7 linked regions of the Macaca mulatta genome follow. The protein of the gene in region 4 interacts with the protein of the main gene of each other region in a pairwise test. Links are inferred from orthologs where the notes say so. Each region holds a gene or a part of one and is shown on either strand. Other genes may lie near its edges.

Region 1 (4,260 bases), on a different chromosome or scaffold from region 4:
GCCTTCTTTAATGTCCCATCTGCAATATGACAACAGTTTCCAAGGTGTCTCCCTAAAGTCAATGCCACTGTCATCTAATCTAAGATTTTTTAAATTCCAATTTTTGTTATAATTTTTTAAACACACACCTGACAATATCATTCACTTGTTCAAAGGGCTCAGTACTATAAACCCTCATGGGGCCTTTGTGATCTGGCCCTTCCTGTCTCCCCAGCCCTCGCTCTGTGCTGTCACTAAACAGGCTGGAGTTTCCTGAATGTCCAGTGCTGTTTCACTTCTCTATGGGTGCTGTTCCTTCTGCTGGGTCACTGAGCCTTCCACTTGCCTGCCAATTCATCCTCCTACATGAAGGTTCATTATTTCATCAATAAACACTTTCCAACACTTCTCATGAGTCGAGCCTGGGACAAGTTCAGGGAGTACAATGCTGAATGACACTTTCCAACACTTCTCATGAGTCGAGCCTGGGACAAGTTCAGGGAGTACAATGCTGAATGACACACTCAACCCTTTGTCATAGAAAAAGTAACTTCAGGGCTTTCAAAGGAGGAATAAAGTTTGGAAATTAAGGTAAAGTTGTCTGAAATTTAGCAGTGTTGCCTTTATTAGTTGGATATCTTAGCAAACTGTGGAAACTTGGAAACCTTGATACTTGGGCATCAAGTTCAAAAGTGTCTCAGCAGATTTCAATTGTAACAGTAAACTGTGATATGGTAGATTTATTCATTTTGGCTCACAAGGCTATAATGTGCTAAAAAACATTGATTTGAACTACAAAAACAATGATCAAAAACTTGCTTCAATATAGTGTTACAAATTTATAAAGTATTAGGCAGGGCATGGTGGCTCACATCTGCAATACCAGCACTTTGGGAGGCCAAGGCAAGCAGATCACCTGAGGTCAGTAGTTCGAGACCAGCCTGGTCAACAGGGCCAAACTTGTCCCTACTACAAATACAAAAGTCAGCTGGGTGTTGTGGGTGCCTGTAGTCCCAGCTACTTGGAAGGCTGAAACACGAGAATTGCTTGAACGCAGGAGGAGGAGGTTGCAGTGAGCCAAGATTGCACCACTACACTCCCGTGTGGGGCAAGAGAGTAAGACTCTGTCTCAAAAAACAAAACAAAACAACCTATTAATTAGTCATACCATTTCCTAAAAGTCACGCTGCTAACTAAAGGTGACTGCAATGATCTAGGGATGGTAATCTGCTGAGTTTACTCTTTAAATACACTGGAACCCAGCAGATTGAGTTATATTGGGACAGAAACTTCACTCTGGGTATAGATTTACCCTAGCACCTTGTCAGCAGGATCCTATTATTCATGGTTGTACAAGCAAGGTTCAGGGAAGAGGCTGGCACAGAGAAAGTACCTGTTAACTGTTGTTTGGGACTGAATTCAGCTCAACTCAGCTCCAGTAGAGATGGTGCTCCCTTCTCTACCGTGTTGAGATAGTGTGCAGTCCCTTCCTAGGTGCTGCTACCCACCACAGTGGGGCCTGTCAGCTTCAACTTTTAAATTTCTCTGCTCCCGCTGGGACCCACCCGCTTCAAAAAGCACCATGTGGTTTTGGCATCAATTTAGTAAACACACACTGTCTGAAATATTTTGATTTTAGAGAGTTACAATCACCACATTAAATGATACATTTCTACTATTCAGTGAAAATGGTAGCAAAATGGTCATTGAATAATGAAATTAATTTTCTCCTGGGCTTCTGAGGCAAAGCACATGATTTTAGTGGTTATCTTAAATCAACCCAGTGACCTTTACTGGCATGTTGTAACATCAGGCGCCTTAGGAAACTGAAAACTCAATCGTCACTTCCCATACCACTGCCCCAGGTCAGCAGGGCAGGCATTTCACATCTACAGTCTCATTTTAAATACAGACAGAGCAAGCCTCGCTTTTCAAAAGTTCATTAACAAAGTCTCACAATTAAGAGAGCAGCCCTGTGACTCATTTTTGGATACCTGTAAATAACAGCTCCTCCCTTTGCTGAGAAACGGCTGAAACAAGCGCGTGAGAACCACAGGAAGTAATACAGATCTCAGCTGGTGTCAGCGGAGTCTAGAAAAAGGCAGAATTCCCTCTCAGGACGGCGTGGTTCTCGCAGGCATTGCCACTACTTCTCTCCATTTTTCTAAAACAAAGTCTTACGTGGGCTGCGAAGGGACTGCTCCAAGGCTCTATCAATTTCTCCGTCTTTCTTGGCTACTGAGTGACACTGCCAAGTTCAAGTCAAGAAGTACCCATTCTGGTGTTTTTGACACAGTCACCCTAATAGGAAGTGAAGAGGTGATAACACAAAAACACTTCAGTCTTTCGATTTAAAATAAAATAGTCTTAGGTGGACACTTTAAAAAGGCAGCCTACCGACAGGTATCCCTAAAATAATTCCTGTGAAGCACTAAATCCTAAATCCCTCAGCCTCTGAAATTAAAAGTAATTTTAAAAAATCATTCCGCTTTATATGAGGAACCCAATCCTGTGTTTCCGAAGGTGCCCAGAGGCGGCGTGAGGACCTGCGCCAGATCCAAAATCCCAACTAAGGCGCAGCCGCGGGTCCCGAGCCCAGACAGTGCCCCCGCCCGCCTCCCGGATCTCTCAGCGCACGGGGAATAGTCAGGAAGAGAAATGGGGGGTCAGGAAGAGAAATGGGGGGTCAGAAAGAGAAATGGGGGCTCAGGGAGAGAAAAACAAACCTGGACCCGGAACGAGAGCGCGAACTGAGAAGCCTCTCTCCCCGCAGGGCGCGCGTCCCCTGTGGGCGCCGCGATGGGGAAGGAAACCTGTTGCGCGACTCCCGGCGGCTCTGCTCCCGGCGCCTCCTGCGGCCGAGGCTGGGCTCCTCCACAGCCGCCCGAGCTCCGCGCCGCCGCGGCCGCATCTGGGCGCCGCCGGCTCAGCCCCCGCCGCTTAGGAAGCTACCACAGCTGGGGACCAGGCCCCGCCCCGGGATGACAGCGCCGGGGCGCGGCAGCAGCCGGCTCACAGAGCACGGGTTCCCGCCCCACCCGGAGTCCGTGCGCTCGGGACCGCCCGGAGCCGGGGACTCGCTCCAGCCCCTCCCGCGAGCCCCGGGGCGTTCCCGGGGGCGGCGCAGACCGGCGCAGGGAGTGGGATGTTAGCCGCCCAAGACACTTCCTCCGCTCATCCTCTGGTCCCCAGGTCAGGGAGTGCGATGGACTTTCCCCGGGAATCCCCGCTGCGCCGGTGACATTTGCAGTCCGGTGCGTTTCTGCGGCAAGGACGCTGGAAGCGGTCTCTGAGCGTGGGTGTGGCTGCGGAGGCTGCAGCAGGTCCTGCATCCGCGGGACCCTCGAGGAGGCGGGCGAGGAGCCTGCGGTCACACAGAGGCCGAGCACAGCCTTCCCAGAACCCGGCCGGCCAACCCATCTCCAGTCGGCCTCAACACCCGCCAGGCTCATCATTCCCTGGATATCAACTGAGCGGCCCCTTGTATTCCCAGGATAACACCGCGCTCAAAAACACTGCCAAGACCCTCCCTCCAGGTCCCGGCACTTTAACGGGGAGAGATAAACATAAAGTGTGGATTGTGTCAGGTGATGGTAAAGCACCTTGAAAAACAAGGCTGAGGCTGAAAAGTAAGGAAGTGATACTCAAGAAAGGAAAAATCGGGCCGGGCGCGGTAGCTCATGCCCGTAATCCTAACACTTTGGGAGGCCGAAGGGGGCGGATCTCTTGAGCCCAGAAATTTGAGACCAGCCAGAGCAATATGGTGAAAGCCTATCTCTACAAAAAATAAAAAAAAATTAACTGGGCGTGGTGGCACGCGCTGTGAGCCCAGCTACGCGGGAGGCTAAGGTGGGAGGATCACTTGAGGCCGGGAGGCCAAGGATGCAGTGAGCCGAGATCGCGCCACTGCACTCCAGCCTGGGCGACAGAATGAGACGCTGCCTCAATTGAATGAGAAGAAAAAAAATAAAAAATAAAAATAAACGAATCCTGTCTTGATGGGAGAATGTTTAAACACAGGAACCACCTGAAAGAGCTCCCAGTTGCCAAAGATGGAACCACTGAGCAACGAAGTAAACTGAACAAAGTAGTACTGGATTACAAACCAAAGTAAAAAATATCCATGAGTCTACACTGATATAAATAAATAAATAAATGAATAAATGGCAGAGAGGAGACAAATCTCCTATACAGAATAATTCCAAATAATTTATGTAGATCATCTACCCTAGGCTGTGCACAGTGACTTCCTCCAAAATAGTACAATGTGGAAAGGGGAAA
Region 2 (3,500 bases), about 51 Mb from region 4:
AGGTGTCGGGAGGGGAGCTGGCCTTGTAGAACAGGGCGTCCACTTCCCTGAAAGGCAGGTGGAGTTTGTGTGGGGCACCATGAGGCTCAGTAACATAACCAAAGTGTTTTCTGACACTGGCAGAGGAGAGGCCAAAGCGAAGCCTGGAGGAAATGGGGACTGATTCATACATTCATTCAACAAATATTAATAGAGGTCCTGCTCTGTGCCAAGACTACACTAGGCACTAGGCATACTGTATTTAACCAAAAAGGCAAAATCCTCACCAACACGGAGATTATAAATTGTAGTCTTGAGGAGACAATCATTAGACAAAGTAAATAACAAATTGGCTTGTCAGATGGTGACAGGCGCTGGGGAAGAGTTAGGGATTGCTGAGGAGGGACTGAGGTAGCCTGTGGTTTTAAAATGGGTGTTCAGGGAAGGCTTCACTGAGGCTGTGACATTTGGTCAAAGATCTGAAAGGCTGGGCCGGGCGCAGTGGTGCACGCGTGTAATCCCAGCACTTTGGGAGGCCGAGGTGGGCAGATCATGAGGTCAGAGTTTGAGATCAGCCTGACCAACATGGTGAAACCCCATCTCTACTGAAAATACCAAATTAGCTGGGCGTTGTGGTCGGCACCTGTAATCACAGCTACTCAGGAGGCTGAGGCAGGAGAATCACTTGAACCCGGGAGGCAGAGGTTGCAGTGAGCTGAGATCCTGCCATTGCACTCCAGCCTGGGTGACAAAAGCAAGACTCCATCTCAAAAACAAAAACAAACAAACAAAAACCCCAAAAAGCAAAGATCTGAAAGGCTGAAGGGCCCAGGGGAAAGGCTCCCATAGTGATCCAGGACAGGGCATTATAAGGGCTGGCAGAGGGACCGGTGCCCAAGGGGAGCTACTTCATGGAAATTGTCACCAAGATGTAGCTTCATCTGGCCAGCGGAGCCGTGAATTGCAACCGAGCACCCTCCCTCTGTGACCTGCCTTCCTGTGCCATGCCCTGTAGGGCTGGTTCTGCAGCTTATTTCCTCCTGTCCTCACAGTCCCTAGTATGGGGTGGGCTTGGGGGCTGGTTGAGCTGAGTGACTTATGGGAATAGGAACACAGCCGGAGGAGCTTACAGTGGTGGGGCTTGGGATGGAAGTGCAGCAGGAGAGGGGCAGTCAGTGATCAGTGTCCAAAACACACGAGCCAGTCCCACTCTAGTGGTGTTCCTGGCACAGTAAGCCCCGGGTGGATGAGCTGGGGGGTGGGGAGGCACAGAGAGCCATTGTGTGGAGGCCCTGCTGGTGGGATCGAGGGCGGAGCAGGCACCAGCTGTGCCATCCCAGAAAGCTCAGGGCAGGGGATATAGGGATGGGTTGAGCCTCAGACCTGGGCCTGGCCTGTGATGGGGACGATAGTGCTGGGACAGAAGATGAGCCCAGTCATTCTCATAGGATAGAGAGCCATGGGTGCTAGCCTGCTTAGTGCAGGGAGATGAGGAGGCACAGGGCGTAGCCCTGGGGCAGAAGCAGTGATGCTGCTGTTCTGGACCAGAGGCTCAACAGCATCTCCCTTCCCCACCCCACAGGAGCTGCCAAGGCCATGTCTGTTCCATCATCACTGAGCCAGTCGGCCATTAATGCCAACAGCCACGGAGGCCCCACACTGAGCCTACCCCTGCCTCTGCACGCTGCCCATAACCAGCTACTCAACGCCAAGCTGCAGGCCACAGCTGTGGGACCCAAGGACCTGCGTAGCGCCATGGGGGAGGGTGGTGGGCCTGAACCAGGCCCTGCCAATGCCAAGTGGCTAAAAGAGGGCCAGAACCAACTCCGGCGGGCCGCCACGGCCCACCGTGACCAGAACCGCAATGTGACCTTGACCTTGGCGGAGGAGGCCAGCCAGGAGCCTGAGATGGCACCCTTGGGCCCCAAAGGCCTGATACACCTGTACTCTGAGCTGGAGCTCTCAGCCCACAACGCGGCCAACCGAGGCCTACGAGGACCTGGCCTGATCATCAGCACTCAAGAGCAGGGGCCAGATGAGGGAGAGGAGAAGGCGGCAGGGGAGGCTGAGGAGGAGGAGGAGGAGGATGATGATGAAGAGGAGGAGGAGGACTTATCTTCTCCCCCAGGGCTGCCTGAGACCCTGGAGAGTGTGGAGGCCCCTCCCAGGCCCCAAGCCCTTACAGATGGCCCCCGGGAACACAGCAAGAGTGCCAGCCTGCTGTTTGGCATGCGGAACAGTGCAGCCAGTGACGAGGACTCAAGCTGGGCTACCTTATCCCAGGGCAGCCCCTCCTATGGCTCCCCAGAGGACACAGGTACCTTGTGGAGCTTGACATGGGCATGTGGGAGGGTGTGAGGGCAGAGGTTAGGCCTCTCATATAGAGGCCAGTGCCAGCCTGATGTGAGCTGAAAGCCCATGTCCTGAGGCCACAGCAGGCCATGTCCAGGCTTTCTCGTTCAGAGAGTGCTTGGACATTCTGGTAGATCTGACCATCATGCATGCCTGGATGGATAGATCTGTTCATTATGCATGCCACCATGGTTGGTAAGTGGACTAGTTTGTTTACTGGGCACTGACTAGGTAACTGGCCCTCTACTCAGCATTTTCAGGCTTTATCCTCACAGTAAAGCTGTGAGGTAAATACTATGATTATCCCCATATTACAGATAACAAAAAAGAGACCCAGAGAGGTTTAGTAGCTTTCTCAAGACCACAGACAGGCTGAGATTACAATAGAGCTGAGATCTAGACCAGGTCTGAGTCCAGGTCTGAGCTCTTGGCCCTGTGTTACACTGCCACCACAGCACAGAGCACAGTGCACTTAGGTGCACTTGGGACAGTCTGCCCCGTTTTAACAGGTCACGTCTGTGGGGAGCTGCTGTCAGGAGTAGGATATTGACTAAAAGTTAGAAAAGAAAACGCTTTGGGTAGGGGGAGGAGAGTAGATACTAGGATTCCAGGGCTTAATAATTAAATATGTCCCATTTAAATCAGCTGAGTCTCCACATTTTCTAATGTCATGTAGAGAATACAGGAAAAGCTGAGGAACAAAGGATGGAGATAATGGGCTATAGTCACAACCCTGGAGTTCTGTAGATGGGGGTCTAAGAAAGATTAGGAAAGATCCCCATCTTCACCAGGCAGCGAACACCATACCCATACCCCAAACTGTGCAATCTTTGTAGAGAACATGCAGTTCAAATGAGCCTAGGGCTGCACACCATCCCCGTTCGAAAAACTCATTCTGGACATTTTCAAACATATACAAAAGTAGAGAGAAAAGAATAATGAGCCTGATTTACCCATGACCCAGTTTTACCAATTATCAATACATAACTAATCTTGCTACCTACATGCTGTCTTCCATTCCTAGGCCCAGCGTAGGTTATTCTGAAGCAAATACTTTTATTTATAAATGTTTACAGCTGGGTGCAGTGGCTCACACCTGTAACCCAGCATATTGGAAGGCTAAAATGGTCAGATTGCTTAAGCCCAAGAGTTCAGGACCAACCTGGGCA
Region 3 (2,859 bases), on a different chromosome or scaffold from region 4:
TCTCCTTTAGGATGTTATGGGTATGATTTTATCAAAGAACAGTACATAACAAATTACTACCTAGGAAGGCATCAAGACGTCAAAACATTCTTATTTAACAAATACATGCCAACAGGATAAATATCCTATTCTGCCTACGTCATTATTTTAACAAACCACGTGGATGCATTTTATAAATTCAAGCACCAATATAATGGCTTAACTTCCTAAGTGACTAAACATTTCAAATATTTTCAGGAGAGGAAGCACAGATCGAGCAAAGCACATTTGGGGTGATGATGTGCCACTGTTAGCATATTCTCCAGGAAGCCCACAGCAACATGTTTTTTCTTTTTTTGGAGACAGGGTCTCACTCTGTAGCCCAGGCTGAGAACAGTGGCATGATGATGGCTCACTGCAGCCTCAACCTCCTGGGCTCAAGTGATCCTCCCACCTCAGCCTTCCAAGTAGCTGGGATTACAGGTATCCACCACCACACCTGGCTAATTTTAAATTTTTTTGTAGAGACGGGGTCTCACTGTGTTGCCCAGACTGGTCTCAAACTCCTGGGGCTCAAGTGATCCTACCACCTCGGCCTCCCCAAGTGCTGGATTACAGGTGTGAGCCATGATTTCCAATGTAACTAATGATCCAAGACTTCTGGGAAAGCTGACTCACACTTTAGAAAACCAAATGATATCAAGTGCAATGTTAGACATCACAAAGAAATCACTCAAAGTATCACACCAAGACACTTCAGCCCATTTTGGTACTAGTTTAGACACTTAAATTTTGAAATATTCCAAAAAGGAATTTATTAAAACAGCTACTGCGTATTAGTTTTGTTCTAAATTACCTCTTCAAATTTAAGCTTCACATCCTCAGATCCAGGAAAGCCACCGCCAATATCAAGGAGATACATGCTGAAACCAACCTCAGCCTAGAATCAAGAAAATCAGTCAGTCAGATCCACAGCTAATAAACAACAAAAACGTATGCAGCAGATAGGCTGAAACCCATGTAACACAGGACCAACTGCCAGAAAAAGTTAGCTCTAGAATTAAGACTAGTTATTGTCAGTTGTGCCCCGCCCTTTGCTAACGGGGTCACGTATACTCACCCCCATGTCAAAAACACAGCGGGCATCAGAGATTGCCTGCACGAAGGTCTCAGGATCGGTACAGCCGCTTCCTACATGGAAGCTGGGGGTAAAATAGAGACAAGACACTGTGTCTTAGTATTTCTTAAAACAATAGCAAACACTAGGAGAAAGGCTGTAAACCTCAAACTGTTTAATGACCTTCAGCTATCCCACCAAGATCTCACCTGACACCAACGACATCGATATTCAGCTCTTTTGCCCGTTCCAAAAGGAGCCTGCTATTTCTGAGCGTGGCACCGAATTTAACACTGAGACGACAGACTGCTTTGGAATCATCAGTGGCAATCCGCAAAACCAACCTACAAGCAAGGAAAGTGCAGCAAATGTCTCATGATAGATGTTCACTTACAGCCACGATTAAAATAAAAACAATCCTGTTCTAAACACTGTCGCTGATATATTCTGTAGTTTGAGTCCCAGGCTTCATGACTCAAGGAGAGTTTCAACTTTCTACTAAAGTACAGAAATATAATCATCAGAAAATTAAGTTTGTTTGATAAAAATCCACGTATCTTATGCCCCTGATCTTGCCCTCAGATGGGGGAATAACTCACTTTGCTTTTGGATGTGCTCTGGTAACTTTCATCAACTCAACTTCACTATCAAAAGTCATCATCTGGACTCCATTATTAGCAGCATACTTAATTTGAGATACTTGTTTACAAGGATTTGCATAGATAATCCTCTCTGGAGGCACCCCCAGATTCTGCACCAACTGTATTTCAGTCTGAAAAACAAGAGTGGTGTCGTGCTGTCCATATGTGGCTTAACAGGTGAAATAAACAGAAAAGCATAGGAAGTTGTGATGTGCCCCGCCCCACCCCCACCCACCTGCCTTTAGTGAGCATTTATTGCCCAAAAAACACAACTTGTATCTGCCCTGTGGGGAATACCAGGACCGTTTTATACAACTGCTTTTGAGTCCTGCTGCTATTACTTACCTTGCTAGCACAGTCAAATCCTGTCCCGACAGCAGCAAGGGTCTTCACGATGGCTTTGCTATCATTACATTTGACTGCATAAAAGGGGGTGACACGAGGGAGAGCTTTTAACCACCTCAGATGTTTCTTTAGAATGTCTCCCAGGTCTGCCACATAGAAGGCATCCTTATCATCCTGAAACAAGAGTGGTCACAGGTGACTCACTAGCAGTCTCACCACACACCACACCAACAGCCATCGACCTTCTTTCCCATCAGTCACAATGAATCCTGCTCTTTTGAGTCTAGCCACTGATATGAATATCACTATTAATTTACCACCAGTGAATTAATTTCTACATTCCGTAACAAGACACAGAAGCCTCACCGCTCTTCCTCAGACCTTGCCAAAGTTTTCCACTTGCCTGGCATTCTCAGCTGCACTGCCAGCATGGGTCTCATATACTTACAGAAAAAGAAACTTCATTAATTTTTTGGTCCAGAATGTCCTTGGCAGTAAAACCTTCATCGAGGAAGTGGCAGTCAAATTCTTCATTACCAAAGTTGTTCATGATTTCTTGATGTTCCTCTGAAATGCAACAAAATGCAAATAGAGCGGAGAAATTCACTCAGAAGCCTTAGCAATACAATTCTTAAGATTAACCTGCAACCCAAATGTAAACTGAACACTTACATGGAAAACTAAGAGATGGAATTCAAAGAAATATTTCCAGCTTCTCACAAAGGCAACTCTCCAGGAATTCCAAATCCCTCTGCGTGTGCCCTTGGAGCAGCAGTG
Region 4 (4,006 bases):
GGTCTGGAGAAGAGAGGACAGTCAGGAACAAGGGCAACGTGGAGAGTGCTGGGAAGGCAGCTTCCCTGGACCCCTCATACCAAGTGACGCTGAAGACACTTGAGGCTACGGCCGTACTTGAGGCAGAACTCGCACAGGTAGAGAACAGGCAATGTGGTGAGCTCCTGTGGGTACGGGGAGAAGTACCACGGCTTGAGGCGGTGCCGGCCCAGCTCAATGCACTCGATGTTCTTCATCCGGGTGACGATGTCGTCGTGGCTTCGGTCAGACACCAGGCTGCCAGTCATGCGTGGTGCTGATGGTATTCCATCTGAGCTGTCCTGGGAGTCCTGCCCAGGGCCAGTGGAAAATACCAGGTTAGAAGAGACAGCTCAGCAGGACACCACAGCTCACAGCCCTTTGACAGGTTTCCTGCAAGCCTAACAGCAACCCTATGGGGGAGGTACCATGATCCCCAATTTCTGGATAAAAAACCTGAAACCCTAAGGGATTGATGATGTGGAAAAGATCACTGAATGACCCTTGTTTTTGAGATGGAGTCTCACTCCGTTGCCCAGGCTGGAGTACAGTGGCATGATCTTGGCTCACTGCAACCTCTACCTCTGGGGTTCAAGCAATTCTCCTGCCTCAGCTTTCTGAGTAGCTGGGATTATAGGTGCCTGCCACTACGCCTGGCTAATTGTTGTATTTTTATTAGAGACAAGGTTTCACCATGTTCGTCAGGCTGGTCTCGAACTCCTGACCTCAGGTGATCTGCCCGCCTTGGTTGGCCTCCCAAAGTGCTGGGATTACAGGTATGAGCCATGGCACCCAGCCCCAATGACTCATTTGAACCATGTTCTGCCTGGCTCCTAATCCCACCAACACTAGCCCCGCCTACCACCCCTTCTTTATTTTTAAACTCATCACTAACTCTCCACCCTGCTTGCATCCCTTCCTTTTCACCCAGCTCCTTCTGTTGCTCCCCAGACCCACCTCATCAGTGCCCAAACAATTCGATTTTCGCTTCCGTCCTGGCTGGGCTGCCACTGCCCTACGGGCTGCTCCATTCTGCAGATATAGTAGTAAAAGAAGGGATGGCTGTGAGATGAGCCTGAAAAAGGCCACCAGAGAGTAGAAGAGAGAAAGGGAACAAGAAATGGTTTGGGAAACTCACCTGGGGAAAAACCGAGGCCGGGGCTGTCTCGCTGGGCACTGGAGTTGCTGGTGAAACCACCTCCACCTTCCGTTTCTGCAGAGAGAAACCAACAAAGGTGGGTCAGAAGGTAGAGAAGGTGGGACCTGAGAAGAAAGCAAGGTCCCTGGAATTGCTGAGGGTACCGTTGAGCGGTGGTTGGGCTGCAGGCAGGAGCTGGAGGAGAGCGGCTGGTCAGGCTCGCCACCGGGAATGGCCTCCCGCTCCTTGGGCAGGTTGAAGCGGAGTGTGATCTGGACCGGGATTGGCAAGGTCTTCCCGCTTGCCTGGGCCGAGGCCGGCTGTAGAGATAGGTCCAGGGTCTTCCTCTGGGGCGGGGATGGCAGTGGAATGGGGAAGGGGAACAGGGGTCCCTCAGCTCAAAATTATCAAACCCCACCCTCGCCTTCTGAAGGACACAGGACTAGCTACTGGACTCTGGGAGCTACATGTGCAATTCGGCCCCCATCCTTTGCAAGATGAAGTCAGGGTGAGAGGGAGCCGCCTACTGCCCATCCAGGAGCCCCTAATGCCAACAGATAAGAGAAACACGAGGCAGGAGAGAAGAGGTGAAGTGGGGGACCTACTCACCACCTCTCTCTCTGGAGAGCCGGGACGGGACCCAGGAAGTCCGTTCTTGGTGGGGGTCTTGGCCTCTTTCTTCGGGAACTGGATCTTCTTTAGGTCCAGCCGCTCGTGCGTCACCCATTCATCCAGACGTTTGTTGACTGCAGCAGTGGGGATGGCTCAGGACAGAATGCCAAAGACTGTTCCCCAACCCTACCCTGATGCCCCACCTCAGGCCCAGAACTCACAGTCAATGTAATGGACGTAGAAAAGCTTCCGGCCACTGATGTCCTTCACGCTCAGGATCTCAGCCAGGGCTATGGGAATAGCATAGGCAGGGGCCTTAGACGGGCCGGGCCAGGCTGAGACTCCACCCTTCCACGACCTGAACTCCACCCCAAGGCCGGATCCCTAAGCTCCAGCACTTAGAAGGTCTCTCCTAAGTCTCCTTCAGTCACTACTGCCACCCCTTTCCAGGCCCCGCCCTGTACCTCTCGGAGCAGCTAAGAGCCACGCCCCTTCATGGGAGTATCTGCGCCCCGCCCGCCCCATAATTCCAGAGGCCCCTCCCCATCCCGGGGGTTCAGTTGACTCCCTCCCGCCCCTCGCCCTCAGGTTCCTTAGCCCCGCCCCCCAACGTCACTCACGCCACTCATCTTCGTTGTCCTGGTTCCGCCGCAGCACGGGTAGGCGGCAGCCCTCGATTATCTCCCCCTGGGGAGACAGCGCGGCGCCAGGGTCGGCTACTGGGGGGCCTCGGGCTCTACCCACCTCCCCTGGCTCCCTCCGCCCCGCCCCGGGCACCGGACTCACCACCTCCGCCATCTTCCCTCCCTCCACTGCCACTTCCGGCCCCTGTGGGAGACGTCACTTCCGGGACCGAGCCCGCTGTAGGCCCGGGCCTCACGAAGCCCCTGTAGAGGGGGACCTTTGAGAGTCACCGCGACCCAGTTGCAAGGGGCAAGACTGCCCCTGTGACTCCTGGGAAAACGAAGTGTTACAAGCCTCAGGCCGAGTCCTAGGTGGAAACCCCACAACGTGCACAGCGATTGGAGAACTACTGAGTCTGTCACGTGACGCCCACCGGGTGCGACGCTGTTCACGTGGATGCGGAGCGGGTCACGTGGCAATACCGTTTGGGCTTTGACGGAGGGCAGTCCTCGGGCGTCTCCTTGTGGCGGCGGGAGGTGTTGTCGGGAGTGAACTGCGCGCGAGAGGCTGGAGAAAGGAACTGTGCTTAGAGGGGCTCGAACGCTCCCCCAGGTCTGTGGACTTCATTCCGTAGGCAGGAGGACTCAGGGAAGATTTCTAGCTTTATTTCGTGTATTAGGCTTCTTTTATTTTTGAGACGGAGTCTCGCTCTGTCGCCAGGCTGGAGTGCAGTGGCGCCATCTCGGCTCCCTGCAACCTCCGCCTCCCGGGTTCAAGCGAATATTCCTGTCTCAGCCTCCAGAGTACCCAGCTAATATTTGTATTTTCAATAGAGGCGGAGTTTCACCATGTTGGCCAGGATGGTCTGGATCTCTTGACCTCGTGATCCGCCCGCCTCGGCCTCCCAAAGTGCTGGGATTACAGGCGTGAGCCAGGGCGCCCAGCCATATTAGGCTTTTTTTTTGAAACAAGGTCTGTGTCGCCCAGGCTGGAGTGCAGCGGGGGAGGCATAATCTCCGCTCACTGAAGCCTCCGCCTCCCTGGATCAAGTGATCCACCTCAGGCTCCTGAGTAGCTGGGACTACAGGCGCGCACTACCAAGGCTGGCTAATTTTTAAAAATTTTTGCGTAAACAGGATTTGGAGACTGGGCATGGTGGCTCACACCTGAAATCCCAGCTACCTCCAGCCTAATCATGAGAAAAAGATCAGACAAATACCAATTGAGAAACATTCTACAAAATACCCCATGAATACTCCTCAGAACTGTGAAGATGTCACTGGTGGAGGGTGTCCAGATTCTTGGCATCTTAAAGAATTGGACAAAACGGCTGGGCGCGGTGGCTCACGCCTGTAATCCCAGCACTTTGAGAGGCCGAGGCGGGCGGATCACGAAGTCAGGAGATCGAGATCATCCTGGCCAACACGGTGAAACCCCGTCTCTACAAAAAAAAAAAAAAAAAAAAAAAGATACAAAAAATTAGCCGGGCGTTTTGGCGGGCATCTGTGGTCCCAGCTACTCGGGAGGCTGAGGCAGGAGAATGGCCTGAACCTGGGAGGCGGAGTGTGCAGTGAGCCGAGATCATGTCACTACACTCCAGCCTGGCTGACAGAG
Region 5 (4,281 bases), on a different chromosome or scaffold from region 4:
CTGGTATCCCCCAAGGTGCCTCTGGGCAAGACCTATACTCAAGATGAATCCTCAGGTGTGAGGGTCAAGTTGAGAGGCAGCCCCTCCACCTCCCAGGCCCTTCCTGGACCAATGTTGCACATGGTAGCCTCCCACCATTGCCTGTGGGCAGGCTGGTGCCCGCTCAGCATGAGACACTTGCACAGGATTACCTGCTTCTTCTAGGCTGGCCTCTGAGTAGCAGGACAAGTAGTCAAGAAAGGAGACAGTGAGTGGATCTTTCGGTCAAATGGGGTAACAGTTACAGTTTGGAGATTTCTCAAAAGTTAAAAACAAAAACAAAACAAAACAAAACAAAACTGGCCGGGAATGCTGGCTCATGCCTGTAATCCTAGCACTTTGGGAGGCTGAGGTGGGTGGATCACTTGAGGCCAGGACTTCCAAACCAGCCTGGTCAACATGGTGAAACCCCATCTCTACTAAAAATACAAAAAAATTACCTGGGCGTGGTAGTACATGCCTATAATCCCAGCTACTTGGGAGGCTGAGGCAGGAGAATCATTTGAAAATGGGAAGTGGAGGTTGCAGGGAGGCGAGTTCGAGCCACTGCACTCCAGCCTGGGCGACAAAGTGAGACTCCATCTCAAACAAACAAACAAACAAAAACAACCAAACAAAACACTATCCAGGTGGCTTGTGAAAAATCAGCCTTTCCGTAATAAGAAAGCATTGCCTGTCAGCAGGTAGAGAAAGAAAATATCTGATTGTAGAGGTTTCATTGGATAAACGCTGGTGCCCTTTCAAATGTATATTATTAAATACCTGTTTGAAATTTTCTACAAGGTCCACCTTGTTTTTCCCTGCTGCATGTCACAAAGTCTCCTCTCCCCTAGCTGAGCCATATGAAGCCCCTCCTACTCTGCTGACCACAAAGCAGCTTTCAGGGGAAGTTTTAGGCTGTACTTGTGTGTAAAAGAAAGCCTGCTATTTTAATGCATTAAAAAAACTGGGGTTTGGTGCTGGCCCCCAGCCTCTGGTTGTGAGCACCCGCTCCTTTACTGCAATGCAGTCCCTATAAATAGCAAAATGTTGTCTGGATGATGATTGTTTGCTTTGTTTTAAAATTCTGAATCTCTGGTCTTACTTTATCTAACATCAGCAGCCCTAGGTTCGTCTGGGACCCCTTGTGCCATCTGTCCCTCTTAGGGGGAGCAGGTTTGCCCATACTGAATGTGCAACGTGCAATACTTCACAGAAAGTCCTGGAAAATGGACCAGCGTCCTTCCAGGGGCCTGGTGTTGGCAGCAACTGCCAAGTCACATGGGTGTGGTGGGGATACACGTGTGTTGGGAGGATGGCCTCACACGCCCCCTCCTAGGCAATCTCTTTCAGGCAGTAAGGTATCCTAGAGAACCAAAGCCACAGGCTTCCATTCGAAGTTAATGGTGGTGGCCCCAGAAAGACAATTCACATGCCCAGTTCCTGGCTTTTTATAATAAGAGACAGCTTGGGATCTGGGTCGGCAGGCAGTGAGGACAAACCCCCTGCTGAAAGGCTGCTTCAAAGCTCTGTCCAACCAGGCCTCTTTCTCTGTCTGGCAGCTCCCTAGGGACACACAACCTGGTTAGCTGGGGGTTGACTGGGGTCCCGAAGGGATGCACCCTAAACTTCCGTCAAAGCCTGAGCCCTGGGAAGGGCTGGCGCTCTGAGCTGCAGGAAGAGGGGCTAAGATGAACTGAGGGAAGGGCTGTGTCCCGGCTTAGAGGCCTGGGGGTCAAAGGGAGGAAGAAAGGGAATTAAGGGAGGAGGGGAAGGGAAAGAAAGAAGCCTTTTGGGAAAACTCACCCTCCATAGCTTGCATCCCTCGTCGTTCCAGGGAGCCCCAGCGTTGGCCCTTCTTCCTCTCACAGCCCTCAGAGGCCTCATAGGAGCCTAGAGTGGTCACTGTGGGTCCTGAGAGCACGGAGAAAGGAAGGGCTGGGGGATGGGGGACTGGCTGCGGGCTGGGGTGCAAAGAAGGGGACATGCCTTCCAGCTCCTCGGGGCTCTGGGATCTGTAATCCCAGTGGAGGTGCCTGACTCACTCTCCCGTCTCTGCGACTCCTCTCTCTCTCCACCACCTCTCATGCTCTGCCTGCGGAGACCCCAGTCCTGACGCCCAGCCTCCTCAGAACCCCCTGTTCCAGGCCCCTCTTGCTTGCACAGAAAGAGGGGGTGTGCGTATTTAGTCCAGGGAGACAGGGAGGAGAGGGGCAAGACAGAAAGAGGGCGGGAGCCAGTGAAGAAGAGGCTGAAAGGGTGAGGTGGCCTACGGAGGGAGGGAGGAGTGGGGGGCGTGTGGGAAGGGGTAGGGCAGCGACCGCTCCCCTCCCCTCCCCTCTCATTCTCTCGCTGGACCTTGCCCACCCCACCCTCGCCCCGCGCTCAGGAATCTCCGGGGCTGCAGGAGGTGCGGGGTCTGGAGCCCCGAAGGCTGGAAGCACCGTTGGACTGGAGTGGAGAGACGCGCTGGGGAGGGACCACCAGACAGGATGCGGCCGGTGCGCTGAAGCCCCAGCCCCAGGCCGGAAAGATGGAGACCGGGCCCCGGTGGAGGCCAGGATGGAGGGAGGAAGACTCTGGGCGGAGAAGGGGGAGCCGCGGAGGCCAGGAGCACCTGGGGGTCTGGAGGGAGGAGGGATGGAGGAGAGAAAGGAGGGGCGGTGGAGAGGTGAGGGAGGGGCGGCTCTGACCTGGTCCCGGGCAGCTCCAGCCCGCGGCTCCCGCGCCGGCTCCGGCGCCCGCCTCCATGACCGCTCCCGCCGCCGCCTTACGCCTCCCCGAGCAGAAGCCGCAGCCGCGAGCCCGGGGACCCGAGCCGGGTGCGCAGGAAGGGGGGGGGGGCGGGAGAGGGGGCGGGGCCTGGCCGGGCCTCCTGACACCGCCCCCCGCCGCTCGCCGCCGCCCGGAAGCCCTCCCAGCACTCGGGAGCTCCGAGCCGGTGCAGGGGGCGGCTTGGGAGGGTGAGCGCGACCCCAGATACGCCCCAAGTCTCTCCCCGAGGGAGCGTGGGGAGCTGCGGGGCCCGGACAGTGTCAGGAGCTCCTAGGCTTAAGGCTGTCCCAAGAGGGAGGAGCGAGATCCCCTGGTTCTGGCAGCAGATCCCCCCGGGATCTGCTGTGCGCAGGGACCCTTCTGCACCAGGTGTCAGGGCCCAGTCATGCTCAGCAATGGGGACAGCAAAGGACGAGGTGGGACTGTTTCCTCCAAGCGCACAGACACGCGCGCCCCTCCCTCCTTCCCTCCCCCGCCCGGCCGGCGCCCCCACCAAGCAGTCGGCGCGGACTCCGGCCTCAGGCCCTGCTCAGCCCTGCCCGGTGGCCCCTCGGCAGCCTGGGGGCCGGAGGAGGGAAGTCGAGGCCCTGATGGGCGAACGGCAGGGCCCTGACCTTTCCGCTTTCTGCGACCCCCTACCGAACCAGGGCCAGGGACCCTCTTAGGGGGGCCCTCCGGTGGCCCCACCAAGCCTCAGGGCCCGAAGACCCCCTCTCCTCCGCCCTGCCTTCCCTTCCGGTCCCACACCAGGTGGGCTGTGAGCCACGCCCCCACTGTAGCCCGCGAGAGTGGGCACGACTGATGTTCACTCTCGTGGAAGGGAGATTTGGAAGCCCAGGGGGCTTATTTCACGTCTTCCACCATTCTTTTATTCAAGCTATGTCCACTGGGTGCCGGCTTTTGAAGAGGCAGTTCTCACATCTCGGCAGGTCTCAGCAAGGATAGAAGTGGGTACAGTTCGCAACAGGGGCTCCCCAGCACATCCAGGAAATGGCTGGGAGATTCCTAAGCCAGGGACACACGCAGATCCCTTCTCTAGCACATTCACTCACATTGTCTGCGTTCCCCCCGCTGCAGGAAAGGGGTCCGGATCCAGACCTCAGGAGAGGGTTCTTGAATCTCACGCAAGAAAGAATTCAGGGCAAGTCCGTAGAATAAGGTAAAAGCAAGTTTATTAGGAAAGCAAAGGAATAAAGAATGGCTACTCCATAGACAGAGCAGCCCCAAGGGCGGCTGTTTGCCCATTTTTATGGTTATTTCTTGATGATATGCTAAACAAGGGGTGGATTATTCATGCCGCCCCCTTTTAGACAATGTAGGGTAACTTCCTGCCGTTGCCATGGCATTTGTAAACTGTCATGGCACTGGTAGGAGTGTAGCAGTGAGGATGACCAGAGGTCACTCTCACTGCCATCTTGGTTTTGGTGGATTTTGGCTGGCTTCTTTATTGCAAGCTGTTTTATCATCAAGGTCTTTATGGCCTGTGTC
Region 6 (4,238 bases), on a different chromosome or scaffold from region 4:
CTCTGCCACTTAAAGCTGTTTGTGACCTCAAGCAAGTTACTTAGCCTGTCCAAGTCTTGATTTTTGAACTGATAAAATGAGAGATAAATGCGAGGATCACATGCAAAGCTCCCATCACAATGCTGGCATACAGTAGTAATCAAGAAATGTTAATTCTAGACGTCAATTCTTCCTACATGACACATGAATTTTCCCTAAAGAAAACTGATGATGACAAAACAGACCCCTACAATGATCCCCACACCAAGTCACATCCATAAGGCTCTTGTTACCTTGGCTGAAGCTGGCCCCTTCCAGTTCAAGTATTGCTCTAGTTCTGTGCCCTTAGCCCGGGCCCTGGAGGAGTCAAACACTTTCCTCTTGGAACCCTGTATCCTGCTGCAGATGTTGGAGTGTCTCTCCAGCCTGAACAAGAGGAATTTTCGCCCACAGTGGCTGCACTCACCCAGCTGTGGCTCTTCAGTGGAGCCGCTGGAACCTGAGGAGTCTGGTGCCATGGACAGGCTGGAATTTCTGGCAGATCCCTGCAAAGCACCGCCTGGTGTTTCTGAAGGCGGGGAGAACTTCTCCATCGACGGCTCTGAGACTCGGTCTCGAATTTTGTTATTGCTTGCTACCAGCCTTTCCCTTTTGAGTCTCTGAATTCTATAATCAGAGAGCTGGAATGGACTCGAATTTTGTTGAGACCGTTCCCAAGTTTCATCCTCTCTCCTGTCTCTACTAAATTCTTCCTCAAAATCAAATTCTGGGGAGAAGACAGCTTTGTGCGTGGTGTTGCTGTTATTACCTTTAACTCTGCTCCTGGGGAATATAATTTTCTGTAGCTCTCTGTTTTCATTTTCCTTGGCCTGCTCCTTTTGCGTCTGGATCCTTCTGAGTTCCTCCTCTGTCTTCTTCAGCTTTCCCCTCAGGAGAATCTGCTTTCTTCGGATTTCCTCCTCTAAGCTCTCCCCTGCAGCTTCTAGTCTTCGGATCTGCACCCACTCCATCCTGTCCAAGTTTGCCAAGGCCTTCTCCGCCTGCATGGCAGCAAGAACAGGATCAACCACAGAAAAGTTGACCTGGTTCCTCACATCAAAGTTCCTGGATGAAAACTCTCTCAGTTCAGGGGGCCTTGGGTAGACATTCTGGTCCCCATCAGTGCCAGACTCACCTGTACTGCACGACTTCCTGTGGACCACGGGTTTCAGTGGGTACGCCCGGTCCACTCCAACTCGTTTCTTTGTAAAGGGGATAAAGTCCTGGTTATTGGCTTTGGGATACCAGGATTGAGGGCCTGATGAGTAAATTTGTTTTACTTGGCCCTGGAAATCACTTCCTGCATCTTGGTGGCTGATTCCAGTACAGTGGGGATAGGAGTAGCTCCGGGCTTTTGTGTTCCATTTGGGGTGAGTGTGGACTTTATCCAGAGTCAACTCTTTGTTGCTCAAAAGCTGCTTCTGGAAATTGTTCCTCAGGTGCCCCTTCAAGGACTGCTGGGAAGAGTCACTTTGTTCGTAAGAGTCTTGCTTGGCTGAGTGGGGCCCTGGAGCTTCTGTTGTATTATGTGGAAGCATAACGCCCACAGGCAGATGTGATGCCAACCGCTGGAGACCAGCCATTCAGGGCCTGGACTGATGCCTACGGGAGATTTAAACCAGATACATGCGAAGAGTTTGTCTGAGGTTCACTCTCGTCTGCTAAAGCAAACTATTTCTACATTTGCCCTGCCCACATTTCCTTAAACTTTTCTGGGGACAGTGGTGCTGGATCTGCCAAAGCTTCCCTTCAAAAACCATTTGGTGAGTGATTACTATGCACAAGACACTGTGTTAGGCCCTGAGGGTAGAGAAACGGAGGTGCTACAGGTGTTCCTGCCACCTAGCTCTCCTCTCCTCCAGCACCAGCCTCTGCCACGCACAGTATACTCTACAGTAAGTGGAAAGAGCATCGGATTGAAAGTCAGGTTTTAGGCCTGTAACAGGACAAGCGACTTCTCCCTTGCTGGCCCCCGTTTCTTCACCTGTAAACTGAAGGGTTCCGTCCGAGTCCATCCTCACCATTTTACAGGTGAGCAAGCTGTGGCCCAGAGGTAGTGACTGGCACAAAGAGCTCTCAGGGCTTCCCTCCTGCTGGAACCGTGCTTGATTCAAAAGAGCACAGAGGCTGCTAGGGCCTGGAGCAGGTGCCTGGCTGTCAAACCCTCATCTCAGGAGTCCCCGTGGCGCAGACGGTAAAAGTTTTGTAACCTGAGCGTTGAGGGCCACCTGACCTGGCTGCAGCCGGTTTTAGATCCTTAAGGCTGAAGTCACGTTCTGTCCCGAAGGGTCAACTGGGGCGCCCCCACTACGGACTCCGCCTCTGGGGACAAGTCCTCTCTCTCTCCTGCCCTTCGGGCCCTTAGGAGGTGCTGACCCTCTGTCTCCCCGCCCTTCTGCGTACCTGAGGCCCTCGGGCACCGCTCCTGCTCAGGGAAAACCCCAGGGCCTAGTTTCCCAGACCCGACCTCCCCCTCAACCGACGGCCGCGCAGGCGCTCTCAGCTAGCTTCTGTTATTCCCGGTGCCTGGAGACCGAGTTACTGGCGGGCCAAGCTCCGCCCCTCGCTGCGAACTCCTTGGGGAGGCGTGCGCAGGCGCAGTGCACCAGCGACCCGGGGCGACCGGGGGTGGGGGGTGCGGTCAGCCCGACCGTCACTTGACCCAGTCAGTGTCCGGCCAACTCTGCAGCCGGGTCCAGCCCTGCCCTTGGGGAGCCGAGGAAGGGCGGGAGAGGCTTTTCTGGGGCTCCATCAAAGAAGAACTTGTACTTTCCTGAGAACGATGCTCCCAGACCTTGGGGTGTGCCCTTCACTGGCAAAGGGCGGAGGCCCTGGCTGTGCCTCCGCGTGCTTCCGCCGCAGGGTGCAGGCGACCGCCTGCCTGGTGGGAGCGGGGCTGCTGCTGACCTTTCTCGGCGCGCTTGGCTGCGCTGGGCGGGCCCCAGGTATGGCTGCACGTGCGCGCTCCCTGCTTGTCGTCGCCAAGTCTTTGGAACTTGCTGCCAACGTTTTTGCTACGCAGTATCTTTCCGGGGTAATTTTTGTGGCCAATCTAATTATTTTGATATTATAATGTTTTACTCTCACGTGGTAACTCTAGCCGTCTGTACTTAGGGCGTAGGAATGACTCAGCCAAGTGTAATGATAATAAAGAACTACCAGATCGAAAATAATCAGTATAACCTGGTTTCAACAGTAAATGATACTCTGTAACTTGTTGACATCAAAAGAAAGTTTATTTTTTTTTCTTCGTTTCAGTTCATCTGTGTAGGACGTTGGGAACAGGCAGTTCGCTTTTTCCCTGTAACTACTCAATTCATGCACTTGGAAAATAATGTAGACAAGCAGTCATCAGTGTTAATACTTCAACATGTCATATTACAGCTGTTACCTGTTACAAAGAAATTCCTTGGTGGACCCTCCAGGTCAGTCCTTCTTTTTTTTTCTTTTCTTTTTCTTTTTTTTTTTTTTTTTTTAATTCCTCGTTTTCATCCCTTGTTGCCTGCACCACCTCTACATATATGCAGCTCCAGATGTTTGCCACTCTACTCAGGGTCCCAATTATCAACTCCCGCAGCTTCCCTCAGCAGAATGTACGGGCTTTCTCTTTCTCTCTCTCTCTCCTCTTCCTTCTCTCCCTTTCTTCTCTGTCTCTGTCTGTCTCTGTCTCTGTCTGTCTCTCTCCCTCTCTCCTTCCCTCTCCTCTATGAGAAAGAAGGGCCACTTTCCATGAGTTCTCTTGAATTAGTGCTTTTCAGTACCCTCCGGGAATTGACTCCATCACTTTACCCCAGCGTTTTGTTTTTGTTTTCTGTTTTGTTGGTTTTGAGGGTTTTTTAAAATTTGTTTGTTTTTTGAGACAGAATCTCACCCTGTTGCCCAGGCTGGAGTGCAGTGGCGCAATCTCAGCTCACTGCCACCTCCGCCTCCTGGGTTCAAGTGATTCTCCTGCCTCAGCCTCCCGAGTAGCTGAGATTACAGGCGTCTGCCACCACACCTGGCTAATTTTTTGTATTTTTAGTAGAGATGGAGTTTCACCATGTTAGCCAGGCTGGTCTTGAACTCGTGACCCCAGGTGATCCGCCTGCCTCAGCCTCCCACAGTGCTGGGATTACAAACATGAGCCACCACGCCCGGACTTTGTTTGTTTTGAGATAGGGTCTCACTCTGTGGCCCAGGCTGGAGTGCAGTGGCACAATCACTGCTCACTGCAGCCTCGA
Region 7 (4,191 bases), on a different chromosome or scaffold from region 4:
CCAGCCCCCGCCCAGTGCGAGTGGGCGGCGCCGCGCGGGGGAGGGTCCGAGGGGCGTCTCCGCCCCGGGACGCGGACACGCGCAGGGACACGCGCAGGCACCCGCGTCACGCGAATCGCCCGGGGCGCACGTAGGGGCTGCTCGGCGGCAGTCGGGAGCCCTGCCTCCGACGCCTTGTGACTGCGTGTCCGGCGGCTCGGTTCGGCTCGACGCGGCGGCGGCGGTGGTCACCCTCCGCCCCAGCCGGGGCCCCGGGGCCAGCGGCAGCTGGTCATTGTTCCAGCACAAAGGGCCACGGCACGGCGGCGGCCGCCCCTCCCCCTCCGCTTCTCCAAGCGAAGCTTCCTTGACACGCTCTCAGCCTCAGAGTCCCAAGCGAGAGAGGTCGACGACCGGCCGTCCCCCACTCTCCGGTGCCGGGGCCCCGCGCCCTAGCGCGAGTCGGAGGCCGAGGCTGTGTCCGCACCTGCCTCACCAGGGGCGGGTTGGAGGCGGCAACCTGGGCTTCGCAGAGGCGGCGCCACCTGGCGGCCCCCTCGGAGAACACACCCAGCCGCCCCCCACCACGCGGGCCCTGACCCACTCCCCGGTACGGTGCCCTTTTCCCCGCGAACCCAGGCCGGCCTCTGGCGCGGCCCCGTGCTCCCCAGCCTCCCCTCGGGACCGCTTGCTAAGACAGAGGTCATTTCTCGGAGAGAAGCGGCCCCTGGCTCCCCAACAATCACTGGGGCAAACCGGTCCAAGCCTACAGCCCAAACCTACAGGAGCCGCACGGCAGACAACATTCCACTTTCTCAAGGTCGCAAATATTCTCACCTTCTCGCACACAATACAGTCTCCCTAACACCCACGCGACCTTTCCCACATGCAGCCTCACCACGCAGCCACAAGCAGTCTCAGCTGTCACGTGGGTCCGCGTTCCTTCTTTCCATAATCTTCCAGTCCAACTCACACACAGACACGGTGTCACAGGCCTGTTGGGCACAGGCTTCCACAACAATCCGCAGTCCTTCGCACCCAGTCACTGTCTCAAATGCACTTAGTCTCCTAACCATCTTTCACGCATTGACAGCCTCTATTCACAGTCACTCACACAGACAACTTCTTACAGCCATGCTTCGCAAATATTCTACCGCACAGCCTTTCCCCTAGGGGTCTCGGTGACCCGGTCAGGTCAGCTGATGCCTGCATCCCTGGGCAAAGACAGCCTTTCTCCCCTAACCACCCCCTCCCCCGCAGGGCCAAGGCCTGCCAGAGCTCGCCCGGGCCCCAGGAAGGAGCATCCCCCCCTTCCAGGCCACAGCCCTGGCCGGCTCTCAGCTCTATTTTTAGCTCCATGGACAGGGTTGTTTTTCTTTCTTTTTCCCTGGAAAGGGAAACACAGCCCAGCCACCCTCAGACTCACCCCAGACCCTCAGCCTCACAAGAACAGACTGAGCCCCTCTCCCCAACAGAGCCCCCTCCTCTGGCCTTGCCCTGATCCCTGCCTCCTGGGGCACCGAGAACCTCCTCCCCTTTCTGGCAGCCTGCCCAGCTCAGGCGGCAGCTGGGCTCAGCGTGTGTGTAGGGGTAGGGGGTGGGGCGGGAAGAAGGCATCGAGCTACTGCCCACTCCCTCATTCCCTGGGGGCAGGGGCTCGTCCTCCTTTTTCTAGGGGTCTAGGCCCACTCTGGTATTGAGGGGGCGTTTACACTCATGCATTTTCTGCGGGGGAGGAGACTCCTACTCCGGCAAGGAGTGGAGGTGAGGGTAGGAAGGGGACCCGCAGGCGCTCAGGCAGCTGCTCTCTGGGCTGGCGGGAATAGGCGGGGGCAGCTGTCCACTGCCATCAAGGGCCTGTCTCCGAAACCTTCGGGGATGCAGATACCAAGAATGTGCTGGGGGAAGGACGTACAGGAGCCCAGGTTAACCCCAGCCCTGCCCAGCAGCCCGGCCCTCCTGCTCCGCCCCGGCTCCAGGGGGCGCTGTGCTCCGGTTCCTGGGAGAGGGCTTATCCCGGCTCCAGGAGGAGAATGGAACGCCGTCCGGCCTGGAACCAAGCAAACGCGCCTCGTGGTGGGGTTGGGGGCACAGGCCACTGGTGTGCGGAGCTGTCACGTGCCCGGCGCCTGTTTACGTCTTCGTCTTCACCTGTGGGCGGCCAGGAAGCAGGAACCTCTGGGTGCGTCCCACCCGGCCCGCCCCCGTCGGCGGTCACGGGGCTGCCCCTTTCCCGCACCCAATGCGCGACCGCAGAGTGCCCTGCCCGCTGTGGGTCCGCGCGGGCTGATTGGCGCTGTCCCTGGGAGTGCAAGGGTAGAAAACTGGGCGCGTCCTTTCCGACTGCATGTGTGTTCGCGTGTCCCAAGTGCGGGCGTGGGTCTGTGCACGCGTGTTTGGGGCCCGTCGGCGTGCGTTTTCGTGTCGCTTCCCTGTTTGGACTCTTCGCGGGCGACCCACCAAGTGCGGACCCCCCTCCTCACTCCACCCCTAGCTTCCCCAGAAGCGGAAAGTTCGTTCAGGAGCGGGGATGTGCGGGAAGCAGGAGTTCCTGCACCTCCGCGGCCCCACCACTCACCCAGCGCCACCTGCGCCTCGGCTCCAGCTCTGGCCCCGCTCCTGCTCCAGCGCGCCCACCTCCTTGCCGCGACAACGCCGCCTCCCTAGCCCGCTCCGAACTCTGGGCTCCGAACTCCGGGCTCCGGGTTCCGGGCTCCCGGCTCCCGGCTCCGGGCTCCCGGCTCCCGGCTCCGGGCGCCCGCCTGGCCTGACCTGGTGGGGCGGGGCGGGGCGGCTCAGGCCGCGCCCCCCACCCAGGGAGGGGAGGGGTCTGTCCCGCACTCCACCAACAGCCTACCCAGTTCCCAGCCCCACAGGGACTCGACGGTGGCCGAGGCTGCCCCTCTGGCCTTCGCCTTCACAGTTTACTGGATTTGGTTTTTGACGTGGGGAAGGGGGCGAGCATCTCGTGACCGATAATTCGACTACCTGGCTGCCTTAAACTAAGCTGCCCTATAGAACTTGACTCTGCCACCCTCCCTGCTCCGTTGGGAGCCCAACCCGGTCCACTCTTGACCCAATCCCCAAATATAGGGAAAACCCCTGGGAATCAGACAAAGGAGGCTCGAGTTTCACCAGAGCAGCTCCCACCTGCCCCCACCATGCACACACCTCAGCGTGGGGCTGCCCAAGCAGAACCAGCACAGCCCCCTCCCTAGAGTAGGTGTCTGCCCAGGTGAGCAGGCCTGCCGGTTCTGACCCCCCACGGGGCATGACTGGGCTTCTCTTAGACTCATAAAATCCTACCCACAGGCACAAACAGGAAGTTGTCCTGTATTGCAGGGAGGCCCCAGGGGCTCCCACCCGCCATGGCACTCAAGGCAGCATGTGGGAAGGTCTTTAGGTATCTGGGCCATATGGGCTGCTGGAGACCTCGGTGAGTTGTTGTTTTTTGAGACGGAGTCCCGCTGTGTCGCCCTGGCTGGAATGCAGCGGGCGCGATCTTGGCTCATTGCAACTTCAGCTTCCAAGGTTCAAGTAATTCTCCTGCCTCAGCCTCCAGAGCAGCTGGGACTAGAGGCATGTGCCACCACGCCACTAAAAATACAAAATACACTAATTTTTGTATTTTTAGTAGAGACGGGGTTTCACCATATTGGCCAGGCTGGTCTCGAACTCCTGACCTCGTGATCCACCCACCTCGGCCTCCAAAAGTGCTGGGATTACAGGTGTGAGCCACCACACCCGGCCGAGCTGTTTATTATTAAACCCATCCACAGCAGAGAGGAAGCTGCTGGAGGACCAAAGCTGCCCCCTCATAGCCAAGTGTGACATACACTATCAGTTAGAGGACAAGGCTGTAGATCCAACTGGACCTGGCTTAGCCAGGCCTTTCCTGAGTTCTCGGGGAAATGTTTTTGAATTTTTTTTTTTCTTCCCAATCCACTGAACCTGTGAGTCAGGGAGATTCTTAACATCCAGTTGGGTGTAGGCAGACCAGTCCTATCCCAGGGAATCTGCACAGGCCCTAGGGACCCCCCACTGCTTTCTAGAATCCAGGGATCTGAACAGGCTGGGCCCGATCATGATGTGGGTGTTTAAGGCAGGTATGGAGTAGAATGTGTTTGTGCAGGGGGTGGGGCTGGGGAGAGTATTAGCTTCCCCTCCACCTCATCCTTCTGGTTTGTGCTGTGTGGGGATGTCTACTAGAAG

Evidence for each region.
Region 1: the proteins of KAT5 (region 4) and STX11 interact in binary tests that used the Homo sapiens proteins (3 or more experiments, as listed by UniProt). The two-hybrid records come from large-scale screens. The link is inferred for Macaca mulatta from reciprocal best matches to the Homo sapiens genes KAT5 and STX11.
Region 2: the proteins of KAT5 (region 4) and APBB1 interact in binary tests that used the Homo sapiens proteins (3 or more experiments, as listed by UniProt). The link is inferred for Macaca mulatta from reciprocal best matches to the Homo sapiens genes KAT5 and APBB1.
Region 3: the proteins of KAT5 (region 4) and ODC1 interact in binary tests that used the Homo sapiens proteins (3 or more experiments, as listed by UniProt). The two-hybrid records come from large-scale screens. The link is inferred for Macaca mulatta from reciprocal best matches to the Homo sapiens genes KAT5 and ODC1.
Region 5: the proteins of KAT5 (region 4) and CCDC136 interact in binary tests that used the Homo sapiens proteins (3 or more experiments, as listed by UniProt). The two-hybrid records come from large-scale screens. The link is inferred for Macaca mulatta from reciprocal best matches to the Homo sapiens genes KAT5 and CCDC136.
Region 6: the proteins of KAT5 (region 4) and ZC2HC1C interact in binary tests that used the Homo sapiens proteins (3 or more experiments, as listed by UniProt). The link is inferred for Macaca mulatta from reciprocal best matches to the Homo sapiens genes KAT5 and ZC2HC1C.
Region 7: the proteins of KAT5 (region 4) and LZTS2 interact in binary tests that used the Homo sapiens proteins (3 or more experiments, as listed by UniProt). The two-hybrid records come from large-scale screens. The link is inferred for Macaca mulatta from reciprocal best matches to the Homo sapiens genes KAT5 and LZTS2.

What each region holds. Positions count from the first base shown.
Region 1 is NC_133409.1:49,410,910-49,415,169, reverse strand, and holds the start of STX11 (syntaxin-11), read right to left. Parts: upstream 2,801-4,260; 5' UTR 2,706-2,800; intron 2,281-2,705; exon of another isoform or gene 1,974-2,280; intron 1-1,973. UniProt on the Homo sapiens protein: SNARE that acts to regulate protein transport between late endosomes and the trans-Golgi network.
Region 2 is NC_133419.1:59,372,656-59,376,155, forward strand, and holds part of APBB1 (amyloid beta precursor protein binding family B member 1), read left to right. Parts: intron 1-1,561; 5' UTR 1,562-1,575; coding exon 1,576-2,296; intron 2,297-3,500. UniProt on the Homo sapiens protein: Transcription coregulator that can have both coactivator and corepressor functions. Adapter protein that forms a transcriptionally active complex with the gamma-secretase-derived amyloid precursor protein (APP) intracellular domain.
Region 3 is NC_133418.1:114,369,730-114,372,588, reverse strand, and holds part of ODC1 (ornithine decarboxylase), read right to left. Parts: 5' UTR 2,755-2,859; intron 2,650-2,754; 5' UTR 2,633-2,649; coding exon 2,531-2,632; intron 2,257-2,530; coding exon 2,083-2,256; intron 1,869-2,082; coding exon 1,696-1,868; intron 1,441-1,695; coding exon 1,306-1,440; intron 1,182-1,305; coding exon 1,100-1,181; intron 920-1,099; coding exon 836-919; intron 1-835. UniProt on the Homo sapiens protein: Catalyzes the first and rate-limiting step of polyamine biosynthesis that converts ornithine into putrescine, which is the precursor for the polyamines, spermidine and spermine.
Region 4 is NC_133419.1:8,680,893-8,684,898, forward strand, and holds the start of KAT5 (histone acetyltransferase KAT5), read right to left. Parts: upstream 2,801-4,006; 5' UTR 2,567-2,800; coding exon 2,389-2,566; intron 2,059-2,388; coding exon 1,990-2,058; intron 1,903-1,989; coding exon 1,766-1,902; intron 1,504-1,765; coding exon 1,321-1,503; intron 1,232-1,320; coding exon 1,157-1,231; intron 1,051-1,156; coding exon 976-1,050; intron 330-975; coding exon 81-329; intron 4-80; coding exon 1-3. UniProt on the Homo sapiens protein: Catalytic subunit of the NuA4 histone acetyltransferase complex, a multiprotein complex involved in transcriptional activation of select genes principally by acetylation of nucleosomal histones H2A and H4.
Region 5 is NC_133408.1:168,424,754-168,429,034, reverse strand, and holds the start of CCDC136 (coiled-coil domain-containing protein 136), read right to left. Parts: upstream 2,801-4,281; 5' UTR 2,770-2,800; coding exon 2,712-2,769; intron 2,301-2,711; exon of another isoform or gene 2,107-2,300; coding exon of another isoform or gene 2,064-2,106; intron 1,933-2,063; coding exon 1,825-1,932; intron 1-1,824. UniProt on the Homo sapiens protein: May play a role in acrosome formation in spermatogenesis and in fertilization.
Region 6 is NC_133412.1:148,262,367-148,266,604, reverse strand, and holds the start of ZC2HC1C (zinc finger C2HC domain-containing protein 1C), read right to left. Parts: upstream 2,801-4,238; 5' UTR 2,422-2,800; exon of another isoform or gene 2,003-2,421; intron 1,621-2,002; 5' UTR 1,602-1,620; coding exon 273-1,601; intron 1-272. Other genes in the region: ACYP1 (acylphosphatase-1), read left to right, coding at 2,801-2,963.
Region 7 is NC_133414.1:113,059,187-113,063,377, reverse strand, and holds the start of LZTS2 (leucine zipper putative tumor suppressor 2), read right to left. Parts: upstream 2,801-4,191; 5' UTR 2,558-2,800; intron 2,162-2,557; exon of another isoform or gene 1,895-2,161; intron 1,247-1,894; exon of another isoform or gene 817-1,246; intron 1-816. UniProt on the Homo sapiens protein: Negative regulator of katanin-mediated microtubule severing and release from the centrosome. Required for central spindle formation and the completion of cytokinesis.